4 linked regions of the Pelodiscus sinensis genome follow. The protein of the gene in region 1 purifies or fractionates together with the protein of each later gene. This does not show direct contact. Links are inferred from orthologs where the notes say so. Each region holds a gene or a part of one and is shown in the gene's direction. Other genes may lie near its edges. The genes, in order: CTBP1, AMPD2, FOXP1 and TRPS1.

Evidence for each region.
Region 2: the proteins of CTBP1 (region 1) and AMPD2 purify together in Homo sapiens (affinity purification with mass spectrometry; 3 studies listed by BioGRID and IntAct, with this or other methods). This does not show direct contact. The link is inferred for Pelodiscus sinensis from reciprocal best matches to the Homo sapiens genes CTBP1 and AMPD2.
Region 3: the proteins of CTBP1 (region 1) and FOXP1 purify together in Homo sapiens (affinity purification with western blotting; 3 studies listed by BioGRID and IntAct, with this or other methods). This does not show direct contact. The link is inferred for Pelodiscus sinensis from reciprocal best matches to the Homo sapiens genes CTBP1 and FOXP1.
Region 4: the proteins of CTBP1 (region 1) and TRPS1 purify together in Homo sapiens (affinity purification with mass spectrometry; 3 studies listed by BioGRID and IntAct, counting the BioPlex papers as one, with this or other methods). This does not show direct contact. The link is inferred for Pelodiscus sinensis from reciprocal best matches to the Homo sapiens genes CTBP1 and TRPS1.

Annotation. Positions count from the first base shown.
Region 1 is NC_134715.1:120,934,018-120,941,175, forward strand, and holds the start of CTBP1 (C-terminal-binding protein 1), read left to right. Parts: upstream 1-4,146; 5' UTR 4,147-4,422; intron 4,423-7,158. UniProt on the Homo sapiens protein: Corepressor targeting diverse transcription regulators such as GLIS2 or BCL6. Has dehydrogenase activity. Involved in controlling the equilibrium between tubular and stacked structures in the Golgi complex.
Region 2 is NC_134737.1:15,280,208-15,287,779, reverse strand, and holds the start of AMPD2 (AMP deaminase 2), read left to right. Parts: upstream 1-4,563; 5' UTR 4,564-4,697; coding exon 4,698-4,779; intron 4,780-7,572. UniProt on the Homo sapiens protein: AMP deaminase plays a critical role in energy metabolism. Catalyzes the deamination of AMP to IMP and plays an important role in the purine nucleotide cycle.
Region 3 is NC_134721.1:10,182,305-10,189,349, reverse strand, and holds the start of FOXP1 (forkhead box protein P1), read left to right. Parts: upstream 1-4,029; 5' UTR 4,030-4,351; intron 4,352-5,748; exon of another isoform or gene 5,749-5,847; intron 5,848-6,026; exon of another isoform or gene 6,027-6,042; intron 6,043-7,045. UniProt on the Homo sapiens protein: Transcriptional repressor. Can act with CTBP1 to synergistically repress transcription but CTPBP1 is not essential. Plays an important role in the specification and differentiation of lung epithelium.
Region 4 is NC_134712.1:24,634,262-24,642,110, forward strand, and holds the start of TRPS1 (zinc finger transcription factor Trps1), read left to right. Parts: upstream 1-4,845; 5' UTR 4,846-5,349; intron 5,350-5,623; exon of another isoform or gene 5,624-6,096; coding exon of another isoform or gene 6,097-6,106; intron 6,107-7,849. UniProt on the Homo sapiens protein: Transcriptional repressor. Binds specifically to GATA sequences and represses expression of GATA-regulated genes at selected sites and stages in vertebrate development. Regulates chondrocyte proliferation and differentiation.

The DNA of each region.
Region 1 (7,158 bases):
TAGATTAGTAAGACAGGATTTCCCTTTACAGAAACCATGCTGACTTTTGTCCAACAAATTATGTTCTTCTATATGCTTCACAATTTTATTCTTTACTATTGTTTCGACTAATTTGCCCGGTACTGAAGTTAGACTTACCGGTCTGTAATTGCCAGGATCGCCTCTAGAGCCCTTTTTAAATATTGGTCCAAGATTTAATAGTGCATGTATATGAAGCATCCATGACTTTGCTGCCCTTCCTGGTTAAGGTTTGGCTGCATTATTTCTGTTAACCTTTAGAGAATTGGATTTAATGAAAAACACATTTTACAAGAAAAAGAGGGTAGTTTGCATAATTTTAAAACTTTCCAAATATTCTTCAGTAAAGACTATAAAATACATTACATTTTAAAATGTTACCTAATAAATAACAAATGTTTTAAACAGGACTTTGTACCTCTTTTAGACACCGCAGCTGATGATGAAACATCCATTACAGGTTGTAATTAAATTTACCATAGAGTCTAGGATTGGCCACAACCAATCAACAGGATTTTAAGTTATTTATTCTCTCTCCACTAAGTGCAAAGTCCTGTTGAAAATCACATTAGTTAAAATGTGTTAGCTAGTTAAACTTCTAATTTACAGTGCTTGTCTGTGCTCTCATTGAGATGTCATAAGGCATCATAAGTTCTAACAACAACTGTCTGACAAATATTCCTAAAATACATAATTAATATTAGGAAAACCAAATGTGTACACACACAAGCCCAAATCATTGTGATTTATTTATGTAGGGTTTATTTTTATATTCAATATTGAAAATAATGTATAGTTGCACTTTGGTGCCTCTAGTCCATGCTACCTCCCATCACCTCTCACCCTGCTTCTTCCCCCAGCCCCCTGTTTTTGAGGTTCCACTTATCCTACCCCTGCTACCCTGAGATTCTTTCCACAGACTCTCACCCGACTTTTTGCCTTGACCTGGTATTCTGACCCTACTGAAAACAGCTACCCTGGTTTGGAGCCTGCCCCTAGAGCTCCGCAACTGAATCAGTGGAAGGACAAAGGGGTTGGGGAAGTGGAAGACTACCTGTGGAGCCAGTGGGCACTGCTAAGAGAGGCTGCTTCTTTGCCTTAGTCTCCTGGACAGAGATAGGGGATTTAGTGGCCACCACATTTGAGAATCGCTGCCCTAAGGGCAACTGAGTCTGCATGAATGGACATTGATTGACTTTATTGAGGCTCCAGGCGGGTATAAGGCTTTCAGTGGGTCAAGCTGAAAGATCGGAGCCTCAGGTAGATAATTTGTGCACACATGCACATTTACGTAGCACTGTTGTGTTCCTATCTTCACATAGCTATGAAATGAATACACATTTTGTAAAGATTCTTTAAGCAAACTTTTATGCTAGACTACGTGAATCCTGTAACTAACTAACTAACACTAATGGAAAGGAAAAATTAGCAAAGGGTGGATATTTTGTTGTAAATTATTAGGCCATGTATGAAATAAAGTTATTTAATATTTGATATATATTTTGTATGTAGTTTATTTTCATGTGTATATATTTAATTATGTCCACTAATCTTTATTGCACCATACTTTTGGTATGTTATTTTATGCTTAATGGTGATCTTCTACAGTATGCAAAATGACAGTACTTCTCAAACATAAAGTAATCCTATGAATGTGTGCAAAGTGAGCCAACCTTTGTACTGTAGAACTATTGGTGGATGTTTGTCAGAAATTAGCAATCAAAGTTTGAGGTTTGCTCAGTGGAAACAGATGGCTGAGCTACCATCATGTCACAGAAAACAGCATGCATTCTTAGTTTAACACAAGAGGGAGCATGTCTAATCTTTAACCTTTAAATATTGCAACTTCAGAAAGACAGCTTTAATTGTTGAATGTCAACTAATTTACTTTCTAGGTGGCATGGTTAAATATTTATACAGCCTATATGTGCATTGTTAGTATATTTTCAAATTAAGATTGTCGCAACTAATAATTCATGCAAATAATGGCATTCATCCTGTGTGGACTTAAACTAAACTAATCACTCAAATATTTAGACTTATGTTAAAAAATAGAGTGGTCAGTAACATGCTGAAATTTAAAAAGTGATTATAAAGTGATTTATCACTATTATAAAGTGATTATAAACATCCATATATGTAAATGGGTCTTTGGTTTAATGACAACTTGAAAATAAAGATTATTTTTCTTTGGATGAACTCCCCTTCCAAAATTTTGGGTCCCTCATTTAATTTGAAGGGAGTTGTGATTAGTGCAAAACAAATCTGTACAATGGTTAGCTCTTAAGTATCATTGTGTAATTCTTACAAAAGCTAGGAAGTATACATTTGGGGTACATTAAGATGAGTATGTATGGCCATAACTTTTTTCTTTCTCCCTGTTCTCCAGCTGGATGCCATAGACTTTTTTTTTATTTTGAATTTGTATTTCCAGATGTTGTTGATCATCCTTTTCAAAGCGTTTATTAATGGGAATGAACAGTTTGTTGAAATTAATGACTGCCATCCAACTATTTAATCACTTTGGAAAGTATACATTTTAAATGTTAAATACTCTATATATTTCTTAGACTAAAACAAGCCTTACTTTTACTCTGTTGACAAGTAATTATATACTTTATTATATTTCATATGGGCATCCATTTGGCTTTATCTCATCTATATAGGAGGATGGGAGATCTAATTTCTTCTAGGGCGGGAATTGTTAATAAATCATAATGTTGACATGGACCATACTAGAGTGACTTGTTGCGTACAATCATTTGATAGTGAGAGGGTGTTTATATGGGACAGAGAAGAGGCAGGGTAGACTACTTGGATCTCAAATACTTCTTGGTGTATTTCAAACAATCGTGGTTTTGGGAAGTTGGGAGGAATAATATTTTAGAGAAACAACGACCTGCACTCCCTCTTGGACTGTTAACAGGGCGCGTTTGAATAGATTTGAATTCACTAACTGCATGTTGATAGGAGAATACAGCCCCAAGGAATGGACTGTGGTAGGCTTTGGCTACATATACATTTCTGTAATTCATCTTTTGATGAGAAGAGGGTTTTAAAATGAAAAGTAATGCTTCAAAATAAGGGACTGATAGCAAAATGACATATAACATGGTGATATTCTGAGTTTCTGCATTAGTGAGGTGAGGGGTGCATTAGCTTATATGCATTCCATCGAACTGAGGGATAACTGAATGTGCACTTTGATTTTTGTCTGACCTGGTTTTTTACTTTTACCTGTCAATCCATGTGTTTACACTTTACAAAGAATGTACTAGTATTTGAATAGAATTCACCGCTTGACAGTTATTCTTTGGTCATGCATATATATGATGAACAGCCCTAATAAAGATGTTTATTAAAAGCAAAAGGTATAAAGTTGAAATTGTCCTGGCTATGTAGTCATCTATATGAAATAAGTTGTCTATCATGGTCCAGTTTCCATGGGTCAGTTATCCAGGCCATGGAATCATCACCAGTGCAATAGTTGACTGGTCAAAGACTGAGTAAGAGTACAGACTGGCTTGCCTTATCACCGGTTAGAGCAGCATTGTAAAGTAGCCATTGCAGAACAAGCACCTTACCAAGATGTTGAGGACATTCACCGGTCAGAAAAATGGTTTGCTTCCAACAAGTGGTGGGAGGAGAATTTTACAAAGCTGCCTCAGATTAGATTGGACACATACTGGCAAGGACCACTGTCTGTGCTGCCCAATTCTTTAAATAGACAACTTAATATCTCTGGAACTAGCCAATAAATTCACTTAACAGTTATTTAAAAGTTACTGTGTATTCAGACAGTTTTCAGATATTAATATTTATTAATGTGTTTTTATAAAAAGTGAAGGACCAGACTCTCATTGTAGAGCAAAGGTCTGTGAAATTTTATTTTTAAAAAGGAATGTTTAATGTTTTATTTATATTGGAAAAGTGAAAATAAAGCTTCCAAAGCTGCTAAAATGGGTGTACTTTTGTGCCCCTAAAACTTTTGAATAGTCACTAAATGGATTTTTTTAAATATTAAAAAGAAATAATATCACCTGATTTAGCTAGGAGCAATTTTTGTTGGCTTGAATTATAACAGCCTCCTCTCCCCTCCCCCCGAAAATGGGGGTTTAGAATGGAAGTGCTGACACAACCTAAACTATAAAGCAGTGCCCTCCGTGCTGCTGTAATAATTGCCCGTACAGTGTTTTCTGCTTTCTTATTTCTGTGCTCTGTTTCTAATTCACTATTTTTTAAACTTTCTGAGAAGTTTGATATTATTTAAAGCACACGAAGTGCATGGAATAACCTGAGGAGTAAGAGTGTTCAGTAGTATGGACTTGTTAATCTCAGCCTGATCTTGTCAGTAACAGCAGAGCAGAGGGAGAGAGGAACTCCGGCTGGGGCAGCGCTCCAAAGGTTTGTCTGTTATTTTATTGCTAAATTACATCTCAGCACCAAACTATGAAGTATGCGGAGTGTCGTTTGTAATCTGTAGATTCCGCAGTTGCGAAAATGTGTGTGGTTAGCTGTATTGTTTGTTTGCAACGGGGAAGATTTGCCTGTGTGTGTATGGAAGAGAGCGAGTGTGTGTTACGATCTAGGAAACGCTGAAGAAGAAGAAACCCTGTTGGTTCTCCATGCAAATGACCGCTTTGGTTGTAACAAAAGCCTTGATGTTGGGCTTGGAAAAATGATCTGACAGTGTAACAACCCCAGGCCACTTTCGCCATGTTTTTGTTTATTCATGTTTCATTCCGTTTTCCGTAGCTATCTCACAGATGTTTCCAATTTCAGTTTTTTTTATACCGTCGATCCTCCTTTTTCGGAGTTAGCAGTAAAATGTGTGAAAGAATGTTAACAAAACAGAGAGGTGTTGCAGATGTTTATACTTTAGTTCTTGCCTTGCGCTTGATGGTAGTATTGGCAGAGGGATACAGTACATATGAAGGAACGTCACAGGCATCTGTTTTAACGACCGAGCTTGTAATTTCTAAACGTGCCTATTATAACTTGAATTTTACCATAAACAGATTAAGTGAACAGGTTCCTGGTACAATATGTCCAGTTAGTGTCCTGTTTGGTTGTTACTATTTCTGGAGAAAAAAATAAAAATAAGAGCGAGGAAAGGAATATATGTGACACAACATGTATGCTCCTAGATAAACTCCTGCCATCTCGGAGTGCCTTTAAATATTTGAACAGCTTCTGTTAAGTCAAATAAAATTGGTTACCATGAGAAACAAAAAAGTCCAATAGAACAGTTTTGACAGACTAATGAAAACGTCAAGGAATTGTTTTAGAAATATTCATGAAATGGTAGTAGTGGGAAAAATCTTTTAAACAAAATTAATAGTAACACATTTAAACCTTTAGCCACCAATGAACCTGGCAAATGCTCTATTCCCCTCCAGAAATAACCTGCAGAGATGAATGATGAATCTTAATGTCACATCTACTGATGTATTGAAATGTAGTTTGCCCATTAACCACATAAAACAATTTGCTTGTAAAATTGCATGCTCGTTGAACATATCAAGACATACACACATAAAATCTTAAATGACAAAATGATTCAATGTCCTGTTTAAATCAAATGTGGTAACTATGGTGAGATGTAAAGTTACTTAAATCCTCACTTGCTATGCATATGTGGATCTCATCATCTCTCTTCATAGACTGGAGATTAAAGAGAAAAGGATTACAGAATCTAGAAAAAATTTTAGCAGAAGACCTGTAGCCCTAGAGTGGGAATTAACATTGAAGAGGCTTTTAAGGAGGGGCAGGATTGAGGTAAACATTCTGTTGTAGTATATTGTCATAATAATTTTAGAAATGGATCTTTCTTGTTGGTTCTGAATGATCCCCAGCCAATTTTTGTAAGTGATTTCATTCACTTCTGAGAACAATCTTGTATATGTTTATTATAATAATAAAGAATTTTCCTGCTCCAACAAAATCAAAGCAAAAAACTTTGCATAGATTTTTTTTTTCTTCACCAAATAACAACATGGGAAAGCCTGCCATTCTATGCATTCTATTCATTTTTTTTAGTTATTCTCTAATAAATCATTTTTCTTCATAGTATGAAAAAAGCTTTACGCGGTTTTCCCATATTTAAACATGAATATGATGTTTGTATAAATATTTTTTTATTGTTTTCTAATATTTGACCATATCAAATGGAAAATGGCCTATGTAGAGAACATTTAAATAAAACCAGAAATGTAATATTCTGACCAATCTTTGTTGTGGGAAAACTGTAGCCTAATAGACTGACCATGTTTCTACTCCTGCTTCAGCTGAGAAGTTAAGATGCTATCTTACATTTTTTACAAAAGTGATTCAGTGGATGAGGCAGATCATTTCATAGGGTGATATGGACAAGAATTAATGCATAATTGTTTGGAGAAAAGTTGATGATCATTTAGACTCTTGAAGGAATGGGTCAGAGAGAGGCTACTGATTAGCTGTGTGGAATATGTAGAGAGAGAAAAGAAAGGAATAGGCCACACTTAATTTCCATTATGGATAAATGGTGTTACTGTAAAAGTCACAGTAAGGAGATGTTTAAGGGAAAGACCTTATGAATTACATTACACATTTCTTTTAATTGTTAATCTATTGTGATAAAGTTTGGAGAAAACACTACTACTATTACAAATAATACTTTTTAAAAAATATATGTACATTTTAATGTACTGGTGGAAGATAAGACTTGTTAAAGTACACAGTAGAACTGTAGTTCATCATAGTCCATCCTGGATTTTGTCAATAACAAACCTTATAAGCATCTTAAATGTTTTATTGTGGCTTTTTCTTCCTCTTCTATGTCAAGACATCTTCTTGCTCTTTCCCTTCCCAGCTCCTGGTATCTGTTATGAAACCTTTGATTAGAAACTTTGCATTATCTCAATGAAAGAGACTTCAGTGAAGACTCATGAAACTGAACTCCTTAGATTGGAAGGTTGTTTAGATCAATGCTCAGAGTTACTTTGCTGAACCTGTGTATTCCAATACAAAATTAAAATTTAACACCGTAATTGCCATTCCACAAAACCATTTAAGAAATACCATTTGTTGTGTTGTACTCTGTGTGTTTTTTATTTTTAGCGACCAGTTCTTTTCAGCTTATAAGGTGTAGGTGTGTATATG
Region 2 (7,572 bases), on another chromosome or scaffold:
GCTCTGCGGGCTCCCTGGGGCCGGAGCCGACACGCGGCTCCTGCAGCACAAAGGCGGATTGTTCGGTTCCTCTTTGTCTTTCCGCTTCGCGGGGGGGGGGGGCTAACACCCTGGCCCGGGAGGGGGAGGGGCAGTCTCGTCCCCCTGACTCCGCCGGGGCCTGACTGGGAGCCGGCCCGGGCCCGGGGGGGGGGGGGGGGGGGGTTTGCTGCCCGCGCGGCTGGCGGGACATGCCGGGGGGGGGGCGGGGTCTCCCCGCGGGCAGGGCGCTCCCCGCGCTGCTGCAGCTGGCTGGACAGGCGGGTCGCTCGGGGGCGCGGGGCCCCGGAACGGGCGTTCCCCGGCGCAGCCAGGCCCTGGTGCCGCGGAGCTGCGGGCGCTTCCCCCGGCCCGGGGTGACGCAACTGGCTGTTGTGCAACCTCCAGCCAGACCAGCATCTAGCCGGGCCCCGCGCTCCGCCTGGGAGAGGCAGCCGGGCGCTCTGGGGGACCCTGCAGTGTCTGGGGTCAATGGCTGCCTCTGCTGACGGGGTCCTCCTGTCTGTGCCCCCGGGGAAAGGTCCCAACGCCACTGCCCCCAGTGCTCGGGGCAGGCACTCCCCTGTGTCTGCTGGCCCCACTGGCCACTGCCCCCAGTGCTCGGGGCAGGCACTCCCCTGTGTCTGCTGGCCCCACTGGCCACTGCCCCCAGTGCTCGGGGCAGGCACTCCCCTGTGTCTGCTGGCCCCACTGGCCACTGCCCCCAGTGCTCCGGGGAAGGCACTCCCCTGTGTCTGCTGGCCCCACTGGCCACTGCCCCCAGTGCTCCGGGGCAGGCACTCCCCTGTGTCTGCTGGCCCCACTGGCCACTGCCCCCAGTGCTCGGGGCAGGCACTCCCCTGTGTCTGCTGGCCCCACTGGCCACTGCCCCCAGTGCTCCGGGGAAGGCACTCCCCTGTGTCTGCTGGCCCCACTGGCCACTGCCCCCAGTGCTCGGGGCAGGCACTCCCCTGTGTCTGCTGGCCCCACTGGCCACTGCCCCCAGTGCTCGGGGCAGGCACTCCCCTGTGTCTGCTGGCCCCACTGGCCACTGCCCCCAGTGCTCGGGGCAGGCACTCCCCTGTGTCTGCTGGCCCCACTGGCCACTGCCCCCAGTGCTCCGGGGAAGGCACTCCCCTGTGTCTGCTGGCCCCACTGGCCACTGCCCCCAGTGCTCGGGGCAGGCACTCCCCTGTGTCTGCTGGCCCCACTGGCCACTGCCCCCAGTGCTCCGGGGCAGGCACTCCCCTGTGTCTGCTGGCCCCACTGGCCACTGCCCCCAGTGCTCCGGGGCAGGCACTCCCCTGTGTCTGCTGGCCCCACTGGCCACTGCCCCCAGTGCTCGGGGCAGGCACTCCCCTGTGTCTGCTGGCCCCACTGGCCACTGCCCCCAGTGCTCCGGGGCAGGCACTCCCCTGTGTCTGCTGGCCCCACTGGCCACTGCCCCCAGTGCTCGGGGCAGGCACTCCCCTGTGTCTGCTGGCCCCACTGGCCACTGCCCCCAGTGCTCCGGGGCAGGCACTCCCCTGTGTTTGCTGGCCCCACTGGCCACTGCCCCCAGTGCTCGGGGAAGGCACTCCCCTGTGTCTGCTGGCCCCACTGGCCACTGCCCCCAGTGCTCCGGGGCAGGCACTCCCCTGTGTCTGCTGGCCCCACTGGCCACTGCCCCCAGTGCTCCGGGGCAGGCACTCCCCTGTGTCTGCTGGCCCCACTGGCCACTGCCCCCAGTGCTCGGGGCAGGCACTCCCCTGTGTCTGCTGGCCCCACTGGCCACTGCCCCCAGTGCTCGGGGCAGGCACTCCCCTGTGTCTGCTGGCCCCACTGGCCACTGCCCCCAGTGCTCCGGGGCAGGCACTCCCCTGTGTCTGCTGGCCCCACTGGCCACTGCCCCCAGTGCTCCGGGGCAGGCACTCCCCTGTGTCTGCTGGCCCCACTGGCCACTGCCCCCAGTGCTCCGGGGCAGGCACTCCCCTGTGTCTGCTGGCCCCACTGGCCACTGCCCCCAGTGCTCGGGGCAGGCACTCCCCTGTGTCTGCTGGCCTCACTGGCCACTGCCCCCAGTGCTCGGGTCTGCTGGCCCCACTGGCCACTGCCCCCAGTGCTCCGGGGCAGGCACTCCCCTGTGTCTGCTGGCCCCACTGGCCACTGCCCCCAGTGCTCGGGGCAGGCACTCCCCTGTGTCTGCTGGCCCCACTGGCCACTGCCCCCAGTGCTCCGGGGAAGGCACTCCCCTGTGTCTGCTGGCCCCACTGGCCACTGCCCCCAGTGCTCCGGGGCAGGCACTCCCCTGTGTCTGCTGGCCCCACTGGCCACTGCCCCCAGTGCTCGGGGCAGGCACTCCCCTGTGTCTGCTGGCCTCACTGGCCACTGCCCCCAGTGCTCGGGTCTGCTGGCCCCACTGGCCACTGCCCCCAGTGCTCCGGGGCAGGCACTCCCCTGTGTCTGCTGGCCCCACTGGCCACTGCCCCCAGTGCTCCGGGGAAGGCACTCCCCTGTGTCTGCTGGCCCCACTGGCCACTGCCCCCAGTGCTCCGGGGAAGGCACTCCCCTGTGTCTGCTGGCCCCACTGGCCACTGCCCCCAGTGCTCCGGGGCAGGCACTCCCCTGTGTCTGCTGGCCCCACTGGCCACTGCCCCCAGTGCTCGGGGCAGGCACTCCCCTGTGTCTGCTGGCCCCACTGGCCACTGCCCCCAGTGCTCCGGGGCAGGCACTCCCCTGTGTCTGCTGGCCCCACTGGCCACTGCCCCCAGTGCTCCGGGGCAGGCACTCCCCTGTGTCTGCTGGCCCCACTGGCCACTGCCCCCAGTGCTCGGGGCAGGCACTCCCCTGTGTCTGCTGGCCTCACTGGCCACTGCCCCCAGTGCTCGGGTCTGCTGGCCCCACTGGCCACTGCCCCCAGTGCTCCGGGGCAGGCACTCCCCTGTGTCTGCTGGCCCCACTGGCCACTGCCCCCAGTGCTCCGGGGAAGGCACTCCCCTGTGTCTGCTGGCCCCACTGGCCACTGCCCCCAGTGCTCCGGGGAAGGCACTCCCCTGTGTCTGCTGGCCCCACTGGCCACTGCCCCCAGTGCTCGGGGCAGGCACTCCCCTGTGTCTGCGCTTACCCCCAGGGAGGGCTGCTCGCCAGAGCTGGAGCTAACGATTCAAACACAAGGACTGGGACACAGGAGGCAAAGGGAGGTGCAGCCTAGAGCCCCCTGGCCCCCAGGAACAGGCCCTTTCTCACCCGCCTGGGCAGCGCTTGTTCAGCTCTGAACCCGAGGCCTGCCTTTCCTGAGACCCTCTGGGGCTCTTCTCTGCAGCACAGTTACCCCCCGCCCAGGGACATTTCTAGGGGACTGTTCGTCTCTGTAAAGTGTCAGGCTCCGCCACATCCAGACAGTAAACACAGGCTGGCTCCCGATGCCCTTTGTTCTCCCTCTTGACTAAGTCCATTTCACCAGGCCTGAGACCCAGGCCTGGCAGGTGCCATGGCTCCTAAAGTTCTCCCCTACACACATCCACCCCACAGTAGTCCAGAAACCAGCTACTGCTGAGACCATGGGGTGAAATAGCTAGAGGACGGTCAGCCCCGGAGATGATACGCCCTGCCCGGCTGCGTGCCGCACACACCCACAGACAGTCTTTGCCCCAAAGAGCCAACAATTTAAGTAAATATGACAAGCAAAGGGGGAGGGGAAACCGAGGCACAGACTGGTGAAGTCAGCAATAGAACCCACCTCTCCTGAGTCCTAGCCCCATGTGCTCTCCACCAGCCAGTGTTGCTTATTCTAGTGTCTTACTAGCGGGGAGGGCCTGTCCCTGCTGCCTGTTCCTGTTCCACCAGGGAGCCCCTTTTCTGGCTCTTGTGCTAGCAGAAGCCTGGGATGGGGCTGGCAGCCTCTGAAAATAGCAGTGGAGGGAAAGGAGGCTGAAAAGCCTGTACTGTACATCTTTGCCTGTCCTGCCGATCAGGATGGGAGTGTGGCTCAGTGGTTAGTGCAGGCAGGAGGTGCAATTCCGGCTGTGATGCTGATGTACTGCTTGGTGTGACATCTCTGTGTGCCCCAGTGATAGGGGCCTATGGGGCGGGTTGGAAAGCACCATGGCCGCCCAGGAAAGATGCTGTGCAGGGTGGTGCTGGGTCTTGTGGGCAGAGCCCCGGGAGGGGGGCCTGGATTGCTCCTCTGCAGAGGTGAGCAGGTGGGTCTGCCTGTGGCCTGGCACGGATCCATCCCTGAGGCATGGGGGGGGGGATCTGCCTGCCACATCTGGCCAGGCGCCCTCATCTGCCACAGCTCTCCAGGGAGGGGAGTTCTTTCTCTGGCCCCTAGCAGAGCCCCCAGACTGGCTCCATGGCCCGCTGGGCTCGCTGCTCTGGGAACAGCTGGGACCAGGCCCGGCTGGGGGGAGGGGGGAGGACGGACCAAGTTTTGCGCAGGGGGTGCTGCTGCTGGAACCCGCAAACCACGCCCCTGGGGTCTGTTCCAGCCGGCGCCCTGGGCCCCTGCCCTGCCCCTCGGCTGGGCTCGCCCGAGCTCGGGCCCCGGGCCTGGCGCCGCGCCAGGCGGAGCCGGGGACTTCGATCCGGCGCCGCGCTCGCTGCATCAATCAGCGGCCGGGGGAGGGGCCGAGCAAGCTCTGGGCCGCTGCTGCAGGAAGAGCTCCCGGCTCCGCAGCTGCGACTCCCCGGCGGGCGCAATGTCGGCGGGCGCCGCGCCCCCCCGGGGCAAGCACCCCTTCCAGAAGCGGGGCAGCCTGCAGGCCCCCGCCGCCGCCGCAGGTGAGCGCCGGCCGGGCCCCCGCGCCCGTGCGTGGGCTGCCTTTGTTCCGCGCGGGGCCGGGGCTCTCCGCTCGCCCGCGGACCGGGGGGGTCACCGGCTCCCCTCCTGGCCCCCGGGGCGGCGCAGCTGCGGGGGATCCGGGGCATCTGGCGTGGGCGCCGCGTTGCGGGGACGGGGTGCGTGTAGCGCTAGTAAAGGCAAGGGATGGATAGGGCTGGGGGGAGGGAAAGGAAAGCCCCCCCCGTGCTTCCTTTGCGCGTGAGTGTGGGGGCGTGAACTCTGCAGGCGCGTGTGTGCTGCGGATGTGGGGGGGGGGGGCAGTGACCTTAGTGGTTAGAGCAGGGGCTGCCCGGGTGTCATGGTTAGAACTGGGGGCCGGGCCTGGGTCCCTGCGTGGCTGGGGGCAAATGCTGGGGGTCGGGTTAGAGCTGCGGAATGGGGGGCTGGGTCCCCTGCATGTCTAGGTGCAGTGCAGGGTGTCGGGTTAGAGCGGGGGGGGCCGGGTTCCCACACAGGGTGTCGGGTTAGAGCGGGGGGGGCCGGGTTCCCACACAGGGTGTCGGGTTAGAGCAGGGGGTCGGGGGGGCCGGGTTCCCACGCAGGGTGTCGGGTTAGAGCGGGGGGTCAGGGGGGGCCGGGTTCCCGCACAGGGTGTCGGGTTAGAGCAGGGGGTCAGGGGGGGCCGGGTTCCCGCACAGGGTGTCGGGTTAGAGCGGGGGGCCGGGGGGGGGGCGGGTTCCCGCACAGGGTGTCGGGTTAGAGCGGGGGGGGGGCTGGGTTCTGTGTGTATCTGGCTTTGAGCTGCCCCCGCCGAGCGAGTGGCCACTTCCCCATTTGTGAGTTGGGAGTGATGCTCCTCACCTGCCTTTGGGAAATGCTTTGAGGTCCTGGGTGGAAGCTGCTGCCTCCTGCCCCTGTGAGCCCTAGTGGGTCGGGTGTGGGTGCAGGTGCGCGACTGTGGCGTGGATCTGTGGGCATGGGAGACATGGATCAAACCATGTTTTGGGGCCCTCTCCTAGGGCTGGAACATAGCACCCACCACCTTGGGGGGCATCCAGCTTTCTCCCACCACGTGTTCTAGAGCCCCCAGCCTGCAGAGACAGCCTGCTGCAGCTGTGGGCGCACCAGAGTCCTGCTTGTGGGGACCTAGGCAGCAGCCTTTAATGTGGGGCAGCTGGGGCACTAGTTGGGTGTCAGCTCTGCAGGCCAGGCGGTCCCAGGGCATGTTCTCTGGCTACAGGATCCCGTGTTCAAGTCAGTGGGACTGTGTTTTGTGGTGTGAGAATCATGCCCCTAAGCACAGGCCCTGGGGGCTGTGAATGTTGGAGGCAGGGGGGTGCTGTGCATGATGCACCCACACCTGATGAGCTGGGCTCACCTGCATGTGCCCCACAGTGAATGTCGTGCTAGGGCAGATGGAATCTCCCTTAATACTGGCCCAGGCCATAGTTCACTTTCCTGCATCAGTCTCGGGCACTGTGGGGTGTCAGAGGCAAGTGGGGAGGGAAAAGCTCATAATGCACCTAGCTAATCTGCGTGTGGGTGTTGTGTGGTGCGCTCATGGGGCTGTGTTGCAGGGACACATTATTCTTACTCCTTTATTTATCATCTGTTGCCATAGAGCCTAGAAGCCTGGCTGATGCTGATCAGCGTGCTGTGTGCTTGTGGAGTGTGCGGTGGTGTGGGACGCTCACCTCGTGTGTGCTGAGTTCCCAGGGGGCGGGAGGCCGTTGTGTGGTCTGGACACCTGGGCATAGGGGTGTGTGTAATTCTGCATGTGGATCAATACCTTGTTTTTCCTGCTGCAATTATAATTCCTGAAATGGGTAGCAGGAGGTGGAGCGGCTGCTAGGCGGGGGTGCAGGATTCCAGCAGAGGAAGTCACGGGGTTGCACCATCCCTCGAGGGCGTGAGGTGAGGAAGGGGGTGAAATCAGCATCTCTGTGATGCAGCTGGTTCCGGGCCTCAGCGCTGGTATCGACAGGGCGCTGCTGTGAGGGCGCCCCAGGGCAGACAGCTGAGGGGTGAGGTCCTGTGGGCGCTCCCAGGCCCCTGGGCTGCAGGAGGCATCCTCCAGACAGACAGCGGGGGATGGGCAGCGGAGGGTGTCTACATTGCACTGAGACACCTGGCCCGTGCCCGCTGGCTCAGGCGCGTGGGGCTGGAGACGGCCTCCAGGACCAGGTCTGCACCAGAGTTAAACAGCCCTCTCGCCAGAGCCCGAGTCAGCTGGCACTGGCCGGGAGGGGGTGCATCGTCAGAGGGGATTCCAGCCTGGCTGCGCCCCCCAGATCCCTCCCCTGCCACACTGCAGAGGCTGGCAAGCATGGCTCCCTGCCAGATTCCCTCCAGCTCCCCTCCCTTCACTGCTCCCGGCATGAGATCTGGGGAGGGGGGAGCAGCAGCAGGAAGGGCGGGGTGGTGGTGGTGGATGGGAGCTGCTCTGTTGCCTACGCCTCGCCCTAGGGCTCTGGCTGCCCTTGAAGGTGAACGGTGCCTTAGCAAACGCCTTTTACCGAGGGTTAACGCCGCTGGTTACTGACACGGCCCGGATTAGGATGGAATTCGTTGCCGCATTCCCGCACACGAACCCCGCTGGATGGTGACTATTCCAGGAACCGTTAATCAGCTGCTGCCAGCGCTCTACAAAGCACGGGCTCCCACGCGCACGTTAATGTCGCAGCTTCAAGGGGCCCACGGGAAGCCCCCACACGCAGGAGGCCTGGGGTGCCTGGGCCTTGGGAAAGCGTAGCACCTGTCCGGGTCTCTGCCACACTATGCATGTAGCAGGC
Region 3 (7,045 bases), on another chromosome or scaffold:
GGGATGCTGGAGGCGTGGCGCTATAGCAGCTTAGAAAACATTCTGACTTTAAAACAGTAACACCTATAATTACAGAGGCGTCATCACCTCCATAATTTTTTTTTATTTTTTACTAACAAGCTGCAGTCATAGCATGTGTACACCCTTACCCAAATCCGCCAAGCATTTGCTCCTGGGACTGTGACGATGGTGGTGGGGATATCAAGCGTCTCTTTCTCTAGGCACTTGTAAAACAATACAGCAGTAAACAATTCAAGTGCAATTAGCAGCTTGCCTTGGTGGAGGGGGAGGGAGAAATCCCTCTGCTCTTATTGTCTATGGAATTAATCATGTTTTATAGCGTTAATATACTGATTTACATTTGCATAGTTAAAAACAAGAGCCAAGAAGTTTGCAATAAACAAAAGTTTATTCTGGGTTTAAATGTATAAACATAAATACGTCTAAAGCATTTCAGTAAGGGAGGAAACAACTGCTATTTATGTGCAAGCTATGGTCTCAAAATTTGCACTATATATTTTCTCCTGTTGTAGTTTCCTATCACAAAACAATGAAGTAAAATAGAAAATAGATGAAAAATACCTTAATGATATTACAAAAATGTAACTGGCCTTTTTCCAATTGCACACATCTTTAAGATATTCTACTGTACATCAGGTGAGTGGGGTAGACTGAAGCCTAGCATTTTGTTGTTGCTTTTTGATAATTGAGTTTATTCAGTAATACAATGACATAATGAAATTATGTACTTACTGTCTTTGAAGATTCCTCTTAAAGTACAGCTAAACCATCTTTGTCTCTGCAAATATTTATTTGCAATGATTTTCCTCTTAATTATTTAAAATATAATGAATTAGGCATAAGTACTTTGCCATTAGTGTAATTTAAAGTGTAATTGCACATCAGTAGCATTTTCGAAATATGCTTCTATTTACTTTTTCTACCAAAAGGTGGCGTCCTACTACCATACCCTTTCTTTTGTGTGAAAATCTTCCTGCTTTAATTTGCCAAGAAGAAACTTCCACTTGATTACTGATCAAGAAATTAAAATGTGCTCTATATGAATGCAACGTGACAGTGTTGAAAATGAACAATATGTTAAGAAGCAGTTAAGTTCCCCACTAACATATAGTAAATGGACATGCAGTTCTTCACCACTTCAGCTGACTAGACACTGAAATATACAAAATCATATAGAAGAACATTTAAAATAAGCTCCCCCTCTTGAATCTCTTATTTCGAACCTGCTGAAAGCCCAAAATGAGGTGAATGCAATTACTAAAAAGCAAAGGAATGGTAAAAATGAGATTATTAACAATTCCCACTTAGTTGAAAGAAAATAGTTTCTGCTAACCAAGTAGGTTGCTCAATAATCCTATAATCAAATTGCCATCTAAATTGTTCTTCACAGAATGCTGCAGAAATGCTGTCACACTATCACACAGGATGTTTCCGGGTCCTTGGCATCTCTGAAAATCAGGCCACTGTTTTAGATACCTAAATGTAAGTTTAGGAGCCTAATTTTAAGCACCTTCTTTTATAAATCTGGCCATTATCTTTATTTCTCAAGGGGTGGGGGGGGGGGGGGAGGTGATACTTCAACACATCACTTACTGTAGATATGCTCATGGACCAAGTTGATTGTTTTAGAATGGAAAGGTAAAATATTCATCTTCAATCTACACAGTCGATCTCTGCCGGACATTCTATATGCAGCCCTCTTGAACATCAGAAACCAGTAGGCATTGTTCACACAGAATGAGTATAAAGGAGGTTGTGTGTGTATAGGTTAGCAGGAAACATTTTATATTTATAATTTTAACTAGTGGGATGGCTAACACCAGCCAACGCGTGGGCCTGTCACTTCCTCCCTCTGTGACCAGGGGCGAAATTCTGGCCCTGTTGAAATCACTGGAAGAAGTGCAATTGATTTCAATGGGACCAGCATTTCATGCGTGGAGTTTGTTGATGTTTTTTGTGCTCTTTGCAGTATTATATGTGTCTGACCCAGAATAACAGTTGTATAGGAGTAACTGTCACTGAACTGGACAACAGTCAGTGGTTCTAAAAGTCCAACTAATCTCCACCAAGGAAATGCCACTTTGCCATGTTTATTCTCTCTAAATTACAGCTATATCTATGTTTTAACTCTCATCATTTATGCCAGTGTGGTTCATGAAGCAGTGGATGATCTAACATACCACGTAAGTGCAATGGTCCTTGGGCATAACACTATTAGATATTAGTAGTGCTTTATCTAATGCTTGGAACAATAAGACAATATTTCAGCTCTTTTTTTTTTTTTTAAACGCAGTAAATTTTTACCAGGAAGCTGTTGCAGCGATGAGTTATTATCTGTTAGATAGAGACAGAGGATCCAATTTTTCAGTCCTTCCTCAGTCAAAACTCCTATCAAGATCAATTGGAATTTTGTTCTAAATGTGGATTGCAGGCGTTGACTCTTGCTCCTGAGACAAGATCCTGTAAGCTCTCAAGTCATGCAAGTATGGGCATCTCATGCAACACTCTGAGTTAGCATTTGGTCTTTTCCTCTGCCTGGCACTGGTACAAACAGGACAAAATATTCATTGGTTATTTTAGATGTATTATTTATTAATAGACAAGTGCAAGTAATTCTTTATATGAAGCACAATAGCAAGAGAGGGCTTAGACCACAGGACTGGGTGGCAAGGAATTCTGGATTCTATTTCCAGCTTTATTACCGACTCATTGCATGATTTTAGGCTGCTAATGTAACCTCTCAGTGCCTCATATATACATGGATCTATAAAACAATTGTTCCCTACTTTACAGGGATTTGGGGAAGCATTTTTTTTGCAAAGTGCTGGGAGCCTCCTAAAAGGTCCTGAATTATAAATTGGTTGTGCAAAAATCATTTTTCAGTTACTATAAATTTGATTCATTTAAAGAAAGGCCTGGACCATGTTATGGGTGAATATTAAACAAGAGTGTTTTTAAAAGGCAAAAAGGTTTGTGAGCAGCAAGACTGTTCCAAACTGCATGAATGAAAGAAATGCCCACATGCTAGTAACTAGCCACTACTGCTATGGCTGTAGCAATATGAATCTTCAGTGGTTCCCCTCCTATTCCCCCCCCCCTTTTGTATCTTTCTTTTTTAAGGAGGGGAGTTAATTTAGTGCTAAGAGTTTAGAAATAATGCGGCATTTATTAAGCATCCCCGGCCTCCTTTATTGGATTTCTTTCAGGCGATTTAACTTCAAGCCTGGTTGCAACCCGCTAACAAATCTCATCCCTGTTTCTGAACCCTGGATGTAAAACTCCCCCCAACCCTTTCCTCCTGGCCGGAATCTCTGCAGTACTCGCAGGTAACTTGTGTGGAACAACTCGCCGTCCTAGGCGCTGAGCCTGTTCCTAGAAAGGGAGGGGGAGGGGGGCAACAAGCGACTCGCGATTTTTAAGGCACTTTCTCCTCGCTGGCAGGAACCTCCCTGGTGCCGCCGGCGCGCGTGTTCTAACCCCGCTCCGTGCCCTTTGTAAGCCGAGCCCGGCTCCTCGCACACGGGGGTTTGTCCTTCGGCTGAACTTTCACCTCCCGAACTCGCCGCCTTTCATGGTTGCAAGTGCCGAGGAGCCGCGAGGGGAGGCCAGAGCCGATGGCTACGGCGCGGCCGAACGCTCGCCCGTGCGGGCTGCTGCTCGCCGAGCTCCCCACCCAGCCCCTGCCCCACCGCGCAGCTTTCGCACCCCGCTCCCAACCCCCCCTTCCCGCGGGGGGGGGGGGTGTTTCCCCGGCTCCCCCCCTTCGCCGAGCCCTGCAGCCCACCCCATCCTCTCCCCCGCGGCTGCGCTGCCCCCGGCTCCTCTCCCTCTCTTGCAACTGCGAGCTCCGCGCGCGCGTGTGTTGCTTTTTGTGTGTGTGCGCTTTGCACCGAGCCTTGTTGTTTACCCAGCAGGTGGATGTGACGTCAGAGACTCACAACAGCAAAAAATAACAACATCTCCCTCCGCGGGGGTGTTATTTTTCTCTCCCCCCCCCCCCTCCCGCCGTTCCCCTCCAGCTTTGCCTCTCCTCCTTCCTCCCGCTCGCCAAACTCCGGAGCGGCCGCGCAAAGGCGCCTGGAGCCGAGCCGGGAGCGGCGGGGGCTGGGAGCAAGGGGGGGAACCCGCCGGCCCTGCTGGGCTGCGTGCAGGCTCCCCTGGAAGCTAGTCCCGAGCGGAGGGCTCTATTGTTATTGATTGTGCGGCTGTTGCACGCTGTGCCTACTGCCCGGGCTCGGCGCATGGGGCTGCCCGGCTAGAGGGAAGGGAGGGGACGGGCAGGCAGACTCACCCGCGCTGGGGGGAGGCACCGACCGGCCGTCTCCAGCGGGTGAGTTTGGCTTTTTGGCTTTTCTCCTCCACTTTCCAGGCTCCTTCTTGTTTGTTTCACTTTTCCCTCTCTTCCTCCCCCCCCCTCCAACTCCTTCTCTGCCCCCCCCCTTCCCAGCTCCACGTGCCCCCCTCTGCCTGCCGCCTGGCGGGGGGATGCGAGCTGGCCGCCACGCTGTTTGCATAAATCAGAGCGAATGCCCTGGGAGAGGCGGCGGCTCCTTCACCTCTGGGCTTGGTCCCTGCAGCTGGCGGCTGGCCACTGCCGCCGGAGCAGCCCCGCGCCGCGGCGACTTGGAGAGGGCTCGTCTGGCGGGCGCCCTCGCCGGGCAGAGACGCGGGTGGCGGGGCAAGTGCCGCTCCCCAGGCGCTCGGAGAGGGGGGGGGGAACCGCCTCTCTCCCCTTCAGTTCTCACTTTGGAAACTTTTTATCCATCTCTGCCCCCTGCGTCCCTTCCTCCTGTGAACTTCACGCACAGGCCCCGGGCGCACACCCCCCTGCGCACAGGCAGGGGCTGGGCTCGCCTCCCGCTCGCTCCGCTGTCCCGCCGTGGTGCGCTCCCGTGGAGTTGCGCCCTGGCTGGGGAGGAGCGCGCCGCCCCCCCCCCCCCTCTCCCCGGGGGAGCCCGCCAGACGCGGGGGAGGCTCCGTTCAGTTCCAGCCACACGCGCACCGAGAGGCGCTGCCCACGCTGAGTTTCCCCGGGACTCGGCTGGGCTTGTTTCCCCGGAGCCGGGACGGCTGCAGGGAGTTGCCCTCCTGGCTGGGGGCTCTGGCTGCAGGGGCGCCCCCGCGGTGCGGTTGCAGGCAATGCGCGGAGAGCCCGCGGCGAAGTTGCGGCCACGGGTTGTCACCTCTCCCTGTCGCCCTCCTCCCCCCCAGTGCGGGGGGGGGGACGACCTTGATTCCCCCACACGTCATTGAGCAAGTCCTGCCCCCCCCCCCCCCGCATACCACCTGTTGTCGCTTCTAGATCAGTCAGCCCAGATGTCTGCGCCGGAGTCGCCCGTGTCACATGCGCGCACGCCCAGCCCGGTGCATCGTGCCCAGCCTTCGGTGCCGGCTGCTTGGCTAGCCTCTGCCTCGCTCGCCTTGGACGAAGTGTTTGAATAAACATTTACAACTCCAAACCCGACCCTTGCCACTCGCCCCTGCTGCCCCTCTGCAAGCGCGCATCTCAGATGCCTGGGGATGAGGGGAGATTTTTAGATCCTGTTACTTACTCAAGTCCTTAGATCTGTTTCCTGATCCCGGTGCTTGCAAGTGTTTCAGGGCTCCTCTTCTTCCTCTCCCTCCCCTTAAACACAGCACACTCTCCCCCTTCCCCCTCCGACCCCTTTACCAAACCTGCCTTCCGGAGACTTGTTGAAAGAACCCCTGGTTTCTTCTCGACCGTAGAGCCCAAAGTTTTGCCTGCCGGAGCAGCAGCAGACTTTACTGAGAAGCTGTGTACTGGCGTTCGTTCACTCTCAGAGCCTTTCTCCCTGCTGTCTCCCGGTAAGTATAGGAAAATCAGCGGAGGCTTTTTACATATAAGGGTATAAAGGATCCCCCCCCCCCCACACACACACACGTGTACACAACTTCCCCGCTCCAACAGTAAACTCCCAAATAAAGAGAAACCAGGTGAACATCTATCGTAAAGGGCACAGACCAGCTTAGAGAAGCTAGAAGCTGAAGCGTTTATTTCAGGTCAGTGAAACAGAAGGGGTGGGGAGTACAGGCGGCGAGATGTATTAACACGGAGTTATCTTTTTTTTTTTTTTTTAAATAAGGAAACCTCGGATCAGAGTTTGGCTAACAGTGTAAGTGCTGCTATAAAATATAGTGACAATGAGTCCTTTCCCTCCCCCACTCCACTTTACAACTGTTAATTATTTCCAACTCATTGTGTTTAAATGCCATTGCTTTGCCGATTGCAAAGTGTGTTGGTTTTAGCCTGCCTTCATTCTACCCATTGGTCTTAAAATTTTGCTTGTAGTGAACCAAAAAACTCCTAAAATGGCCCTTTTAAAAAAAAACAAAAAAAACGGCGGCTGTCAGTGTCAACTCTTCAGACATAATGCTCCTACCAAGCATTTCATTTAAGAGCTACACATGCTTCTGAATTCCACTTTAAAGAGTTCTGGCTTAATCTCCTAGCCTCTCAAAAGTTTAGGGTTTCACTTTTAGTAACTGTTGTGTGAATGAGTAATGTGTACAATATTTGCACAGCGTGTGTCTGTATAGGATACAATTCTGAATCCTGTGGTACTGAATAATTATACATATTTTTTTTAAAAAAATTTTGCTTTAAATTAATTTTTTTCTGTTTTTATACATTTGTTTTGGTTATCTAACTTTCAGAATGTCAGTATAATTAATTTAATTCTCTTAACTAGGCAGATAGTGACTTTAAGTATGACTTTTAAAGACAAGTCCTACTCAGGCTCCTTAAGGTAGTAGTTATCTTTGGGTTAATTTTGTTGGAGGCAGAAATAGATGTTTGAAATACTTAATGGTATTTTGCAATTTATATGATTGAGAAGTGAAATTCTGTTGTTGGTTTTTTTCTGCAATGTTAAGCCTGAGAGATTTTCAAATATTTTGAGTTCTACAAGAACAAAGTAGATCTCAGAAGGGAGTGTACTATGCATCTTTGAAACCATATTGAGATCAAGGGAAGGAGGGGAAACTTGGACTTTTGGTTTCAAGT
Region 4 (7,849 bases), on another chromosome or scaffold:
ATTGTGTGCCAATCCTATTTTAATCATTTGGCTGTGCAGCAATAGGTACTAGGAGTAGGGATTTAGGCATTTGTGGGTAGGGTTTCTGTCTGGTGAGAAATGATTGCAGAAAAGGGGCTTCACTTGTTTTGGGCTTCTAACCAAAGTTGAGTGTATGGCTGAGTTATGGGAGGGAAACATGCTGCTGCTCTTTTTAACTGACATTTGCTTGTCTATTATTATATATGGGTCAAAGGGCTCATGGAGCTTCAGATGAGCACCCTTTTGCTGTGGAGTTTTTAAAATCAAAATCTATATAATAGTGAGTATTATTGTATGTAAGTGATTTTGAGCAGTTTGGGGTTTCTTGTTTTTAATTTCCAGTACATTTCACAATAGTGATAGGTAGACAGATAGATAGTCCTAAAGTTATCTCTCTTTCTCTCTCTTCCTATATAGCAGCAGTATTCCATATTGTCCCTCATCTTGAATTTGGAGGAACCACCTGCCTTATACTCCACAGTATCTCCATTGTGTCTCCTGACAAAAGGGAAGCATTCAGGTTCTGACTTGCCAGTTGTGGTGGTGGTGTACCAACATGGACATTTTTATACTACATAATGGATTAGGCTACCAAACATCCACCAGATGTTAATATTTCATCAGTACTGAGTTGGCCTGTATTAAAATAGTGACATACAAATGAAAGTCTCCATTTCCAGATATCCAGTCCCTTTAGAAAACATTTGTTAAAACTGGGATCATGCCATTTTATTCTCACCCTTCTGTTGCAGGATATTTCATTGGCTGTCCATGGTGTTATCTCATCTATCATTGTGCAAAAACTCTTTTCAGAAGCATTTACCATATAATTTGTGGTCCTCAAGCCTGTTCCTTTTGAAATCAGTGGTAATTTTGTCTTTGTGTTAGTGTACCATTGGAAATTTAGAAAGTTGACTCTTTACCTACATAAAAAAAATACAAAAAATAAAAAACTTCCCTGTTAAGATGATAGGATTCCATGTGACAAAAGTTTTGCAAAGAAATGAAGTAGGTCTGCAGAAATTCTGTAGGTCCCGGTGTTTATATTCCCAAGAAACTCTCACTGAAATTGCCCAGACTCCTAAGTTAATGCTTCTCAAAATGTTCATTATTGAAGACAGTAAAAGTGAATGGTCTTTAGAATTCATGTGATATACTACTAACTGGTGGGAGAATAATACAGAAATACCTTCTTGATGATGTGTGCTAAAGCAGCAGGCATTTAAGAGCAAAGTCAATCTCTGAGGTTTTTGTAAAGAATTGCAATTTATGACGTGTTAGGGTAAACAGTTGGATTATATTTCTAAATTGCATGTTCCATCAGGTAGAATCATTGTGATTATAGGCTCTAGTATTTTAAGCAAGTAAGTTATGCACTAAAAGGCTGAAATTGTAAAACCAGTATGCCTTGTGCTTAACTGGAAATCTCTCTTTGCAGCTACACAAACTACAAGCAAAGAAAAACCACATTGAATTTATTAAAGGAAAAAAATGGCATGTTATGTCTTCTTCATAAATAATGACTTTTATACCATTTTCCTTCAAGAAGCTACTGTGGCTGGCCTTTCTATTCTCTCTCAGTGGAGAATGTGCTTGAGTGTAAAAAATGGAGGATTATTTGGAAATTACTTTGTTCATGCCTCTTATGTGATAACAGCGTGTTCTCTAAATTTTCTTGCGTAGCTGTTATTCCTTCATTTCTGCTTCTTTTCTTGTATGTCACAGAAAGCTAGACTTCTTATTTAAACAACTACCTGCTGTCACATAGAATGTAGATTTCAAGTAACACGAAATAAAAGTTGCTTGAAGTGGTTTTGCATATGCTTGACATTAGAAGATGATACATGAAAATACATCGTCAATATTTCTTTGAATGGAATTTGTGCAATGTCAATGTCGAAGGATTATAACAACAAATCAACAAATATTTAAAGGAAAACAATATACATAACTTATTTTCTATATTGAAAACAACTGTTAAGCAATTACTGTATGACCTCATGAATTAGTTTGTTGTTTTGAAATATTCCTCCTAGGATAAAAAAAATGGTATACAGGCCTTTGAGCCCAAACATATTGTGTCAATCATGAGCATATGCGACGTATCTAAAGCATGAGGTAAAATTTTTCTTTGTAAATTATTTCATAAATGAATAATTTGCCTCCAAAAGTTTATGAAAATATTTTTGCTTTTATTAAGTTCTCCATAGATCTTGGTTAATATAAACAGATTGATATTGACATCTTCTCGATCTGCTTTATTTTAATTTGAAATGCAGAACGTATCAAGCAAGCATTATTATACAAGGTACTGTAGCACTTTTCTCTGCAATACAGTGTTTCACTAACACTTCCCATTTTAATTAATGAAAAAATATTTTGTTATTCTAGCAGTTTATGACCTATGCTTTTACTATTTCGTTCTAAAAATCAGCACATCCTTAAATGCCATTCTGTAACTTTTCATGTGATTTAAAAATAAACATCCTTATTCTTCTAGTCACATTTTCTTAAGGTGAAAAAGCTGTGTATATAATCTTAAAAGTTTGCATTGGTTGGAGCTTTCATTCTTTCATTCTTAACAAACTTTTTAATGTTTTATATCTTGTAGTTTAAGGTCAGAGAAAGTTGCATTCACATATCGTCTGAGAAGGGATAGAATTAAAGATGTGCGTGTCTTATTATTTCTCTTTCAAAAATAGAAGATATTAATTAAATAAATTTCAATATAACAGAAAAGCAAAAGGGAAATAACCCCTGTTTAAATATTTTCCATTCAAACCTAGCTTATAGGATGTTTAGCCAAATTATCAGCCAAGTACTGGCTTGTTTTAACCTTTTATATACTGGACTAATAGGCCAGGTCAGAAAGACTAATCAATGTAGTTAAAAATCTAAATTATTTAGACCTGGGAACAAATCTGGATTTGACTGAATGGATTATTTCTCAGTGTAGCTCATAATAAGTAAAAGTTTGTGAAAATGATTCTATATCTTGCCTATTTGATTAAAGTTCAGTTATTACATTTGCAGCTTAGAAAAAAAGGTGAAAATCTGCCATCTCAGAAAGCACTTTTACTGTGTATGCATTAGTGATGCTCTACAGTAAATTGCTCTGGCATTAAATTATATAGGGAGTCATTAGGAACAGACTTTAAATTTTACTGAAGATTTTGGAATTACTGTTCTTTGCATTTCATATAAAATATCATAACTGTTCAAAATTAATTTCTGCTGATGGGGATATGGTAAGTCCCACATATAATATGTTAGTTCCCTTCTCCTATTTCCTGTGAGACATAGGGTGCTTTTTTGTGGAACTATATTTTACTTACCCTTTTCTGCCTGTCAACTCACCTCTTGTGCATGAATGATTATTTTTCTATTCATAAAGTGCTTTATCAGAGATTCCTAGAAAAGAACTAAAGTGAGAAATGTGTTACTTTGTGATTTACATGAGCAATTACTTTACAAATCTGCCAGAATATTATAATAAACATAAATGAATGTATAAGTTTAAAAAGTGGATGAAAATGCCATATATTTTGCAGTAGGACCTTTACTTTAACTCGGTTCATGTCTTTGAAATTCTTTTTGTTTCATATTTAAGTTTTTCCTGAAAATAAAATTGTAAGGCAAACATTATGCCATGTGAAACACATTTGGTAGGAAATAATTTAATCCATAACTAATATTTTAATGATATAACTCTCTTTTTCAGCTTCTCACTTGGATTATATTTACTGTTCAATGCAAAAGTCCAGAATATGTCTATTTCAATATGAAATTTCAAGATGACTGACATAGAAGGAAAAAATGCCATATAAAGTCACCTAGCTCAGAAAATTGTGTCCAAATGCCCAAGAAATATTTATATAGTTTTTAACACTTACTCTACTTGGGGATTAAAATCCTTTCCCAGGAGCTATATACATTGCTTTTCCTTAAACTTTTTTTTTAAACATTTATATGTAGAGTTCTGGCAATTCATGGTAGAGGAAAAATCTGATCTTTAAAAAAGATTCTGTATAGACACAGAAAAGTATAAAGAAATTTCTGAAAAGAGGATTGGGATTATCCTGTGGTAGAACAGAGAACTAACAATAAATTGTATTAATTTGAAAACTGAGAAATAATGATACTGTAACAATAATAAATGAGTCTAGACTTCTCGCAAATCCTGTCTACTTTGTGTTTGTGTTATTTAGATTGTAAGATCCTGGGGGGGGGGGGCATTGACTATGTATTTTGTGCCTTGGACAGGGTGGTATTGTCAGTTCTTCACAAAGAAAATAATAATATTAATTAAGGCTGTTGTTGGAAACTGAACCCACTAAATGAGCAGACCAGGGCATTGCACTATCCTGCTTCCTACTATTGCCCCCCATTCCCGAACTTGGAAAAAGTTCCAGTTGTTTTTCTGTCCCTTTTGTCCTGGATCAAAATACAAGGAAAAGGTAGCTGCAGTCGCCTTTCCAATAGCACATCCAGGCAAAAATCGTGTGCAATTTTAGAAAAGCTGAGCAAAGACCAGCAGCATTTAACAAACAATTATTAATCAATAATAGCTATTGAAAATCAGCACAATCAGAGTCTCTTCCCCTCTCACACTTTCCCAAGGATGTAATGATCAGTCCGGCAAGGTCCATTCCTCAGGGATGCTCCCCTACGCCAGAGCATCCTGCATAAACGTTAATGTCATTTACTTAAAAAAAAAAGTTGTGAATGACTTGGTCTATTCCAAAGCAGCCTATTCCCCAGTGGTTGCTGCTGCCTGGCCGGAGGAGGAGGAGGCTGAACACAGCAGCTCTGTGGGGACTCCTGTACTGTCTCTTTAAGGGCTCTCAGTCTGGGGTGGCGCTTTTCTCTGCTAAGGCTCCTTTGATATTAATAGTGTTGGTGTCTTGAAACTGACGTAATGCTCGGAGACTGAGGTCCTGACAAGCGATAACATTTCTGATAAAGAGCTGATCTCTCTGCAATCTAAAGCCGCCTCCTTTGGGGGCTTGTTGTTTCACTAGATCCAGGCTCTCCTCCTCTTCTCTCTCTCTCTCTCTCCTTTTTTATAAACACACCAGGCACATCCAGGTCCCTGCTCTCTTTCCCTTTCTCTCTCTCTCTCTCTCTCCCTATAAAGGGGGGGGAGGTAAGGGGGAGAGGGGGAAAGGCAGGAGAACCTTCCCCCCCCTCTCTCTTTCTTTCCCCCCCCATTCTCCCCCCAAATAATCCAAGATCAACTCTGCAAACAACAGAAGACGGTTCATGGCTCAAACCACAGCTCCACCATCTTTCAGGCTGCTGAGATTATTATTGTCGATTAATCAACAGGTAAGGGGGGAGGGAGGGCTCGGAGGGTGGGTGGGAAGAAGAGATCGGGGAATGGGGGGGGGGGGATCAGCCAAAAAAGTGTATGGCGTTGGGGGGGGGGGGCTCCTTCCTGCTCCGTCTGTTGATATTGCGTATGTAGTAAGTGTGTTGTTCTGTATGCTAAGTGCTTGTGTGTGTGAAATGGGAAGGCGGGGGGGGGCGGGGGGATTTAAAAGTGAGTTTCTTTGCGCGCACACACACATCCAGGGGGGGGGGGTAAAAATCAGAGGGAAACGAGGGCTTCTCGGATTTCACAGGCTGCTGCTGGTGGGGGGTTTGGGTGCATTTTTTTTCCTCCCTCTTTTGGTGGGTCAAAGCCATGTGTGATCGCTGGAAACTGGCGACTTCAAAACTGCAGTAGCCCCTCTGGACTTAGGAGGAGGGTCAAGTTCAGCCAGCGAAGCGAGCAGGGCAAACAACCCCCATCTCTGGTTTAAGACTCTCGCCTTCTATTTACCCATAGAAGGGGTGGGGAGCAGTTCCCGGGCTGGTATCTCCCTTCGCCACCTCCCCTCTGTCTAGCTACTTCTTATCGCTCTGATTGTTCATTCCCCACCATCGGGGGGGGAGGGGGGCTGGAAGTAGAAGAAGAGCAAAGAGATTTTGCATCCGATGCGCCGCAGTCGCACTGTGCTGGCTGCTGCTGCTGCTTGCTGCTGCTGGAAGTTTTAATGGGAATCATGACAAGCGGGGCACAGAGAGACCATCATGAAGAGTAGTAAGTTTGGGGCAAACTTTTTGTATTTGTCTTGGGGATCCACCAGGGGAGGTTACGGGTGTGCATGTGTCGAGGGGGCTGCGCACCCGGTCACACCAGGGGAATAGGCGACATGCTGGTGTGTGTGTGTTTGTGTGTGTGTGTGTGTGTCTGTGTGTGTGTGTGTGCATTTTAAAGGAAATCAGAGAGTACAGAGAGAGACGTAAAACTTTTTCCTCTTAAAGGCAAAGTTGTACTTTCAGAGTTGAGTCCCCACGCTCTGCACTGCCAGGGTTGCTAGAACTTTGTCTAGTGTCTCACTTTTTTTAAAACCCTGCTTTCTCCATTTGGGATCTGTGTGACATTTTGTTGTTGTTGAAAGTTCTGGGGATATAGGGAGACTTCCTGATAGTTCTGGGGCGGAATGTGTGGTGGTAGTGGTGATGGTGGTATTGATGAGTGTTTGTGTGTGTGTGTGTGTGTGTGTGGAATTTGTGGCTTCGTTAAAAGCTCCAGGGTGAGGAAAGGTGGCCTAATAGCGTTTGGTGGGCTGTGCAAACAACCTTTCTCTCTCTCTCTCTCTTTCTGTCTCTCTGTGCAATTCTTTGCCTGATTCCTGACTGTGATCACTGGGTATGGGAAGTGGATCCAGGGAAAGGTCTGGCAATCAAAACTGACTCTCCAGAAAGACCCACAAACTTGTGGGACTCCAGCAGCACTGCGAGCTATTTTTCAGAGTAGATTTGTTTTGGGACTTGAGCCGCTCATTAAGTAGCTCCTTGATTTGACATTTTGATATGTTTTAGCTATTTGTCTTTATTACAAATGAAAAAATGAATTTTAATGTTCCAGGACTCTCGTAAGCTATTTTTGAAGGAATAGAGTGGCCCATTAACTTAAAAGGAATTAGACATTCTCCATCCATAAATGTCAAATCTCTGAAGTGTATGGAAGGCATGGTGCAGTGCAAAAAGTGGGAATGAATTATGAAAGTGAAGTCATCTCTTAATTCCATCCTCTTCTCCCTTCACAAGTGCAAATTTACTATCTGGTAGAAGAATTAAATAATAAATGCAAGGGAGGAAAAAGCAGAGCAAGTGTGGGAGGAAAATACTTTTTAAATATAAAGACTGTAAGCTCTTTGGGGCATGGACTGTAAGCAATTTTTGTAGTTTGTACCCCACACACATTGTAGATACTACTTGTTAGTAACAACCTGGTTGTTATTTCATCGGGTTTAGTAAAAGTATGAAGTCCTTTGCCATTTTAGCTGTCTTCTTCAGCTGCGCTAAAACCTATGAGTCTTGGTGGCATCATGTTACTTTGCTGTTGATTTTAGGAAAAGTTGATCATTTAGAAGAGACTGCCAGAGTTAAAAATACAAGGGGCAGTGAAGGAAAGTTAGTGGTAAGAGCCAGTTCCTGACGTGGACAAAATGTGAATAAAAGTTACAGTAATCTTTCTGAGTTGTAGTCAGTGTTTTCGTCATGTTCATAAGTATGTACATTGGGTTAGAGAGCTTTCTCAGATATTCCACCAAAGTGACATTTAAAAAAACAAAACAACAAACAAACTCCAAAAGAGTGAGGATTTTTATAACGTACTGTAGCTCTATGAGTAAATACAGAGCTTGTTTGAGAACATCAACTATTTCCTGTAAATTGTGATGCTGACAAGACAGTCTGGAAATGATATCAACACTTTGAAAGATTTTTTTTAACTACTGAGTGAAAGGTTGTTAATAATATAATTAATCCAAATAAG